Linked DNA regions of Rhinolophus ferrumequinum. Each later gene encodes a partner of the first gene's protein in a complex. Links are inferred from orthologs where the notes say so. Each region holds a gene or a part of one and is shown on either strand. Other genes may lie near its edges. The genes, in order: PPARGC1B and PPARA.

Region 1 (3,901 bases):
ACTTCCCCAGGGGCACCTCTGCCCCTCCCGCACCCAGTCCCCCTCGTCCCCGGCTGTCGGCGGGGAGTTAGGGGAGTGGGGGGCTGTGGGGAACCGTAGTGGTGCTGGTGCTGGGACTGGGATCGGCCTTCCGCGCAGAACTGGGGTCGGGACGTGTGGCGGCGCCCGGTGACCGCCAACGGAGCTCCACTGCAGTTTCGTCAGAGGTAAAGGTACGCGCCCGGCGCGCGCAGCGTGTGCACACAAACATACACACCCGCGCGCGCAGCCCACTCAGCACACACTTACCCCCACCCCCGGCCTTGAGAAGAGCGATCACACTCCATCGGCCCCTTCAGCCCCTGCCTAGAACCCACCCGAGAGCGCCCGCCACGGACCACGAGGCCCCGCCGCTCCCTGACGCATGGACGTCTGCAGCGAACGACGGACGGCCTTCTCCCGCGTGTGGCAGGCTTGCTCTCCGCGACATCCCGCCACGCCGCGCCATCCCAGCCGCCAGCCGGGAGTCCGCCCGGAGCTGAACCTCTAGGCTGCCGCGTCCCCTCCAAGTCGCTTCTCCCGGCTAGGAGTCAGCTCGCAAGCCTCTCCCCGCCCACCCGGTCCCATGACAGCTGCTGCCGCCCAAAGACAGGCAGATTATAACAAGAAGCAAAGTTTCCCTCTCAGCCCTCCCACCCCCGCCCCCTCCGTCTTCCCCCTCCCTTCCAGTGTTATGCAAAACGAGCCGGCACTGGCACTCAGACTCCAGGTACCAAACCAGCCCTCGCGAGCCGCGCCCGGTTCCACCCGGCGGCCCCTCTCGGAGCCCAGGCGTGCGCCCGCATCCGGGATCTCACACTCGGCGGCGCCGCATCCTCATCCTCCAGGCTTCCCGCAACCTGGCGCCCAGAGAAAAAGCCTTAACTAGGGGGCCAAACTTTACGCTTGCAACAGGCATGGGGCTGGGGAAACCCAAGGAAGGGGTAGGGGGCGCGCACACCTAGTGCAGGCATTTTCCGTAGCTACTTGTCCCAACAGCACACACACACACACACACACACACACACACTCGCCTCGGTCACCAAGTCACCAGCTCCCTCAGTACCCCCCACACACACACCAGCACACCACAGCACCTTCTCCTGTCACGCGCGTGTCGCCGGCCGAGCTCCCAGGCGCAACCAGAGCCCGGGACGCCGCCTGGCCTTCCCTTCCCCCCAACACCGCCAAGCGCGCACCCGGGCCGCGCGCCGCAGGGGGACCCAGGCGCCCCCAGACAGTCCTTCGTCCCCCATCCTGCCTTGCTTTTCCGCCGGGGGGTTCAACCAGGTAGCGAAACCAGGAAGGTGCTATCCCCGCTTGCCATGTCCACGTGCCCCTCAGACCCCTATGCCCTTAGCAGACAACTGGCAGCAAACTCCGCGCTGCAGGCGCCGATTGAGCCATGGAGCCGATGCGGAGCCAAGGGGGGACTGGAGACTGGAGGACGAGGGGACTCTGAGGACGGGGGCCGGCGCCTGTGCCGGGGCCACAAGTCCACGTGAAAGTACGGCAGCAAGTGCCGGAAACCTGAGGGCGCGCCTCCAGCACCCAGAGCTAGCCTGAGGGTACCCCACACCTTGGCGCGACTTCGCCTCTCCAAGGAAGCGCGGTACCCCCCCATCCCAGCTCTGCCAGCGGGGGGTACGGATTCCAAGCGACCGAGGCTAGACCCTACCCAGCGACCGTAGCACCCCCAACGCTCCAGCTTGCGCAGGGGAACCTCCAGCTCCCTGCCCCCTTAACGGAGCACATCGCAAGGTGCAGGGAAGGGGGACTCTGCAGCCTGGAACCCCCGACCCCTCAATGCGCCCACTGCTGCCTCCCGGTCTCCGCGGCTGCGGCGGCAGCCCCCGCAGCTCAGCACCCCTAGCACCCGGCCCGCGGCCCCAGCTGGCTGTACCTGCGTGTCGGCGAGATAGTTGAGGAAGAAGGAGGAGAGCTCTTCGTCCAGCAGCGCGCCGCAGTCGTTCCCCGCCATCTTCCAGCCGCGGCTGCAGCGTGCCGCGGAGTCAGCGCCGAGCGGGCCGGGGGGAGGGAACCAGCGAGCTAGCGAGGAAGGCGGGAGGAGGGAGCGAGGCCCGCGGGAGGCGGAGGGCGGAGCTCAGGCCCCGGCTGCCGCAGGGCCGCTGGCTGCGGGGGCGGGGCCGCGCGGTGCCTGAGCGAGCCGGGAGTCGCGCCCCCACTTTCCTGCGCCACGTCTGGAGCGGTGATCCTCGCTGGCAGCCCCTAGCCGGGAGGAAAGCGCCCGCAGCCCGGTGACGGTGCCCAGCCTGCAGCCCGATGCCTGCGCAGCAATGCGGGTAGCCCCCCGCTTTTGCCAGAGCGAATCACGTTGCCTTAGCGTTGGGCGGGTCCTTCGAGACAACCTGCTTCTGCACTGCTGGGGAAACTGAGGCCCGGGAAAGCAGAGGACCTTGTTTGAAGCCACAGTGCACTTCAATAGCAAAAAGGCAAAGCTAAGATCTGACTGCCCCGGAGGCTTGAGTTTCTCTACCGGGGCTGCAAGGCCAGAGAAGAAGGGATACCATAGGTCAAAGGTGGAGAAATCAGGGAAGGCTTCTTGGAAGGGGTGGCATTTTTTTATCTTTTCCTTGAAAGAGGTGTTGTTGACCCATATTCTGTTAAGTTTGGCCATCTCTCTCTCTCTCAAGGCTCCCTCAGTGCCCTACACCCTTTAAAAAATAAAAACAAAAACAAAAAACTACAATGACTTCTCTTGCCATGGGCCACAATGCCTTGAAGTAGCGAGGCTCCTAAGGGCTTCCCGTTAAACATCTCTCAATGGGCCTCTACACACTGAGTGTTGCCTCCATTCACCTAGTAACCACATCTTCAGGGCCTCCTCCCCCACTGTCCCTCAGACTGTCAGCCCATTCTCAATCCCCCATCATGGGTTCCCTCTGCCCAGCAGGCTTTGCCTCTAAAACACTAGCCCCAGGTGCCTTTCTACATTTGTTTCAGTGAAGATTTGATCCATATGTCTCTCCTTACTAGACTCCAAGACCCATGAAACTAAGGCCTGAATCTGCTTTTGCACTTGTCATGTCTCCAGTGCCCAGCACATAGTAGGTACTTAATAAATAATTTATGAACTAAAAACCCAGAGAATCGTGATCCCCTCACCAAACATTGTATAGATAAGGAAACTGCCCAGAGTCAGGGTGCATATGGAGTGTCTGAGTCAGAACCCAAACTCAGGCATCTTGACTCTAGCCTTGAACTCTCATCTTCAGGGCCTGCAATTTGCCAGGCAGGAGATGAGGGCATGGCCTGGATAAAGGCATGAAGGCGGGAAGAATTAGACCTGTTTTATTGGGCAGGCCTGCCTCCTGCTCTCCCCTTACCTGCTCTCATAAGGGCTGCCCCACCCTGCCCCAGCGTGGGCACCCTCCCAGCCAGAGGAGGAAATAGGGAGAGTCCCAGTACACCTGCTCAGACTTGAACACGAGAGCAAGAGCTTCCTTCTTCTCCAATCTGAACTTCCCAGAACCACAGGGTGTGATTTCACTCTTTGGGCTTTAGGCCAGCACACTTTTAAGGAACAATGATTTCCAACAGAGAGTCTACGTCTGGCCTAGGAGCATTAGCCTGGGAGTCAGGAGTCCGGGGTGCTGATCCAGCCCTGCCACATCGTCCTCTAGTCTTGGGCAACTCAAGCAGTTAAGAGCATGGGCCTTCTAGTCAGACTGCCTGGTTTTGAACCCCCGAAAGTCATTTAGTCTCAAGACTCAGTTTCCTCACCTACACAAATGCGTATCATAGAATTATATACTGCATGGGGCTATTATGGTGACTGAGGAAATAACATATGTGAAGTGCTTCACACAGTGCCTGACCTCATAGGAAATATGCTAAACTCTCTGGCTCTCTGTTTCCGCAT
Region 2 (3,901 bases), on another chromosome or scaffold:
TATCCCCGCGACACCCCAGTTTTATCTTTTAAGACGGTAAGGACAATTTAAGTGTCTTTTTTATATTCTGGTATTAAAATCAGCTTCATGAGCCATCCATGGCTGTCGTATTCAGTCAATACTGAACACAACAGCCCAAAGCAGCTACTCCGTAAATATTTACAGAGTGAATGAATTAAATATATACCGCATTTTGCCACGTATAATGCATATTTTTTTGCCCAAATTTGTAAGGGAAAAACAAGGCTGTGTATTATACATGGGTAGTACTAATTTCCTATCTATATGTTTTTAATTCTTTCATTTATGCTTATAAGCTAAAAGTGTAACTCTAGAAATTAATAACGTTATCCATATGCAACATAATACCCTGCAATACAATTTTGTTGAACTTATAACGAACTTGCAACAACGAAGAGTTCTTGGCCTTCTGTGATGCATAAATGTCGTAAATTTGTTACCTGTACATAAACTTTCTTGTACGTTATATCTGTTCTTGTGTTTTGTAATTATTTGTTACACAAAATTTCTTGTTCCACAGTATGTTAAAAAATAAATGCTAAAATTCCTTTATAATACAAAAAACAAGTACCTAAAAGTAAACAAATAAAAATTTGAATTGAAAAATTACAACGATTTTTTTTCCCTAAAAGTTTGGGCCAAAAACGTGAGTGTGCATTAGACACAGCAAAATACGGTATATATTTCTATATCCATATACATTTATATATGGATTGGCTACATACTTATGGTATCTACACACAATAGAATATTATATAGACACTGAAAATAATCAAACACAAATTTACACACAGGAAAAGATTTGTCATAACCTAATAGTTAATAAAGCAGATTACAAAACAGCTTATATAGAAAAAACACGTTTTTTTCTCTCTTCTGTCATTCTCACACACACACATACCATGTTTAAAAAGCAGTTTACAAGTTTGACAAACATGAGCTAGTAAAAAGAACTATTTTATGATTACGGAATGATTCTTATATGTCTAAGATATAAACAAAGAGAGAAAGTCATTTTTCCTACCATCAATTAATTTGCTTTTGCTTCAAAGTTGTATAGAATGTTGTCAGGCTCCCTGTCTGGCCCCTCATGCGCAGTGACCACGAAATCTGTACCATCCGCCACTTCTCCAGGCATCCCTGTCCTAGCTGATGGCAGGTCTAGACCTGAGCTACTACTATCTCAGCAAGCCATCTGCTTTATATTCAAATTCGAATAAAAGCAGCTACAGCTGGCATGCTGCTCTCGGCCGTGTCTGTGACTTCGGTGTCTGTTAAGTACTAACATTTCTGTTATATTACCTAGTTTTCAAGTACATGGAACCAGCCTGCCATAAAGAAACGAAGTTCCTAGAGAAACTGACAGGAGCAAGTTTTCAGAACTTAAAAGGGAATCTACCCACATTTATCTTACTTTCAAAGCACCAAAAATATATCCAACGTTGCATCACAAAGTAATAATTAACCCTCAAATGGCTAGTCTGTAGGGCAACGGAAGTAAACACTTAACCATTTCGGTCTGGAAACCCGAGTAAATCAAACCTTCTATTTACCTGTAATGACAGCGTCTTGGTTCTGAGCTTGTCTTGCCACAAACTGTTACTTCACGGAGGAGGCAGGGCCTTTAACTGCGGCCTTGGCAGTGAGAAGGTAAAGGAGGAAATGATTACGATGTGTCCTCTGGATTCTCCCCAGCTCTCCACCACCTTGGAAGAGGAAAGTCACCGTGACCCCACTTCTTCAAAGGAAATGGTGTGGCAGGGTCGCTACCAGGAAAACCCTGTGCCCCTCCTAGTACCCTCTGGTTTGGGGAGCAGTGGCTGGGGTTGGGGTGGGCGCGCAGCCCCGAAGGTCCCAGAGCGCCCCGCGAAACCCAAGCCATTACACAACGATGGGCTTTTCTCAGAAAGAACCTTGACATTTGGGGCACGCCGTCACTCCTTTAAACTCAAAAAGGCGAGGTTCACACGGGCGTGTAGTTGTCCCCTGTTAGTCTTGGGTGGGCGTGGGGCAGAACCGACCCTCCGGACTTTCGCCGGCACCACCTCGCACCCCTGGGGCCGCGCGGCCGGGGCCCCGGGGAGACCTGGGCGCCGACACCCCGCGCCGGACGCGCGGGGCCCAGGACTCGGGTGGGCGTCGCGCGGCGGAGCCGGCCCTTTGCTCGCCTCGCCCGGCCCATTTGGGTCTCCAGCCTGCGTTCGGGCGCAAAGTGAGGCAGTTCCTCAAAGGTGTCCCAGGGCTGTGAACTAACCCGCCAGTGAGCTTCCCCCGCCGGACCGCAGCCGCCGGGCGCGCGGCCCTGAGGGTCAGTCTGCTGGGGCCTCGGGATACCTAGCCTCGGGGAACCCCGGGAATCTCGGGAAACGCTCCCCGGTCGGTGACGCCCAAACTCGACCGCGCTGTGGGGAGGGCGCCCCACGTCCCGCCTGGTGGGCCTTCCTTCCCGCGAAACAACCAGAGGACCCGTGTCTCTGAGGTCCCGGCCTCGACCTCCACACAGCCCCCAGCGACAGCCGCGGAGGCCGGGGCTCCGGGCAGGCCCCCGTGCCAGGAGGGAGGCGGAGCAGGGGGCGGCCCCTGGGCCCGAGGTTCCTCCGCACCAGCCACAGCGAGCGCCCGCGGCCCGCGCCCCCGTCCCGCGCATGCGCCGCCGGCCCCGGCCCCTCCCCCGTCCGCGGCCGCTCTGGGTCCCGGGGTGCCGAGGCCCGGCCCGTGGAACCTCGCGCGCGCCCACCCGCACCCGGGCACCTGGGGCCGGGTCCGCCGCCTGCCGGTCCGTCGGGCGAACGCGCCGAGGGAGGCGGCACCGGGCCGGGCGCTAGCGGCCGCCTCCGCCCCCGCCGCCCGCTGCCCCCGCCGTGGGGCCGCCGCGTCCCCTGCCCATGCCCGGCGCCGCCTGCCTCGCCCGTGCCAGCCGCACCCCCGCGGCACGCGCCGCCCCTCGATCTCCCCGCCCGGCCGGGCAGCGCCGGCGGCTGGCGCGGGTGGCCCGCCCGGAAGCCCCGCCCCGGGGCCCCCACTTCAACCCCGACTCCGCCCCCGCCCCAAACCTCTGGACCCGCCCCCGAGCCCCCAGCCGCGGCCCCGGGCGGACACACCCCCGGGTGGCGGCACCCCATTGGCTGCCCATGGGCCTGGGGCGGGGCCGCTCTCGGCTCCTCCCTCCTTGTGGCTGGCGGCGGCTGCACTGTTGGGGAAACTGAGGCGGGGGAGGCGGAGGGACTGCCAAGGTCACCGGATGGGCGGGTACGGCGTCGCGACGGGACACCGTATGCGGCTGGGCATCGGCGCGCTTCCAGCCCCGCGCACTCTGAGGGGCTGAAGTCCAGGCGGGGTTGGGCGCAGGGCTGAGAGACGGGTGGAGGTTCCCGCTCGGCGCCCAGGCTACGCTGGCTATGCCCCCCCTCGGAGAGCTGGGCTCTGCGGGTCTATACGATACACTGATCTAGACCTCGCAGAGGCGCTGTGCCCTGGCGTTCCTGGGGTGCGCGGGGTGCGGGGCGGCCCCGGGTGCGGTGCGGTCCCTAGCATCTCAGGATGCAAAAGTCCGAGAAAGGGAACGCGAGCTGGGAGGACGCGTAAACAGGTTGTGATAGTGCCCGGGCGAGGGCGGCGGGCGGGGGACCGAGATGGGTGAAGGGCAACCCGGACACGCGCTGGGACGCACTGTCAACTCCCACCACCAGCCCCCACCCCAGCCGAGGATGCCGGAGAGCCGCGCAGGCTCCCGCGGTGCGTCGGGGTGAGGGGCTGACTGTGCTGGGCCGAGGGCCTGGGCCTCTGCCAGCGTAGGGGGAGGTCGCGGCCGGGCCGCCTCTGGTGAGAAGAGGGGAGAGCTGCAAAGCGGCTTTGTTTGCGCGACGACGCCCGAGCTCCC

Evidence for each region.
Region 2: the proteins of PPARGC1B (region 1) and PPARA are in contact, whole or in part, in a crystal structure (PDB 3SP6), measured with the Homo sapiens proteins. The link is inferred for Rhinolophus ferrumequinum from reciprocal best matches to the Homo sapiens genes PPARGC1B and PPARA. Residues at the interface, in NP_573570.3 of Homo sapiens: Ser154, Leu155, Leu156, Gln157, Leu159, Leu160, Leu161, Thr163; in NP_001001928.1 of Homo sapiens: Val284, Thr285, Thr288, Glu289, Lys292, Phe297, Leu302, Asn303, Gln305, Val306, Leu309, Pro458, Leu459, Glu462, Ile463.

Annotation. Positions count from the first base shown.
Region 1 is NC_046307.1:22,081,957-22,085,857, reverse strand, and holds the start of PPARGC1B (peroxisome proliferator-activated receptor gamma coactivator 1-beta), read right to left. Parts: upstream 2,603-3,901; 5' UTR 2,000-2,602; coding exon 1,922-1,999; intron 1-1,921. UniProt on the Homo sapiens protein: Plays a role of stimulator of transcription factors and nuclear receptors activities. Activates transcriptional activity of estrogen receptor alpha, nuclear respiratory factor 1 (NRF1) and glucocorticoid receptor in the presence of glucocorticoids.
Region 2 is NC_046293.1:3,112,532-3,116,432, forward strand, and holds the start of PPARA (peroxisome proliferator-activated receptor alpha), read right to left. Parts: upstream 2,901-3,901; 5' UTR 2,773-2,900; intron 2,629-2,772; exon of another isoform or gene 2,276-2,628; intron 1,728-2,275; 5' UTR 1,575-1,727; intron 1,397-1,574; exon of another isoform or gene 1,046-1,396; intron 1-1,045. UniProt on the Homo sapiens protein: Ligand-activated transcription factor. Key regulator of lipid metabolism. Activated by the endogenous ligand 1-palmitoyl-2-oleoyl-sn-glycerol-3-phosphocholine (16:0/18:1-GPC). Activated by oleylethanolamide, a naturally occurring lipid that regulates satiety.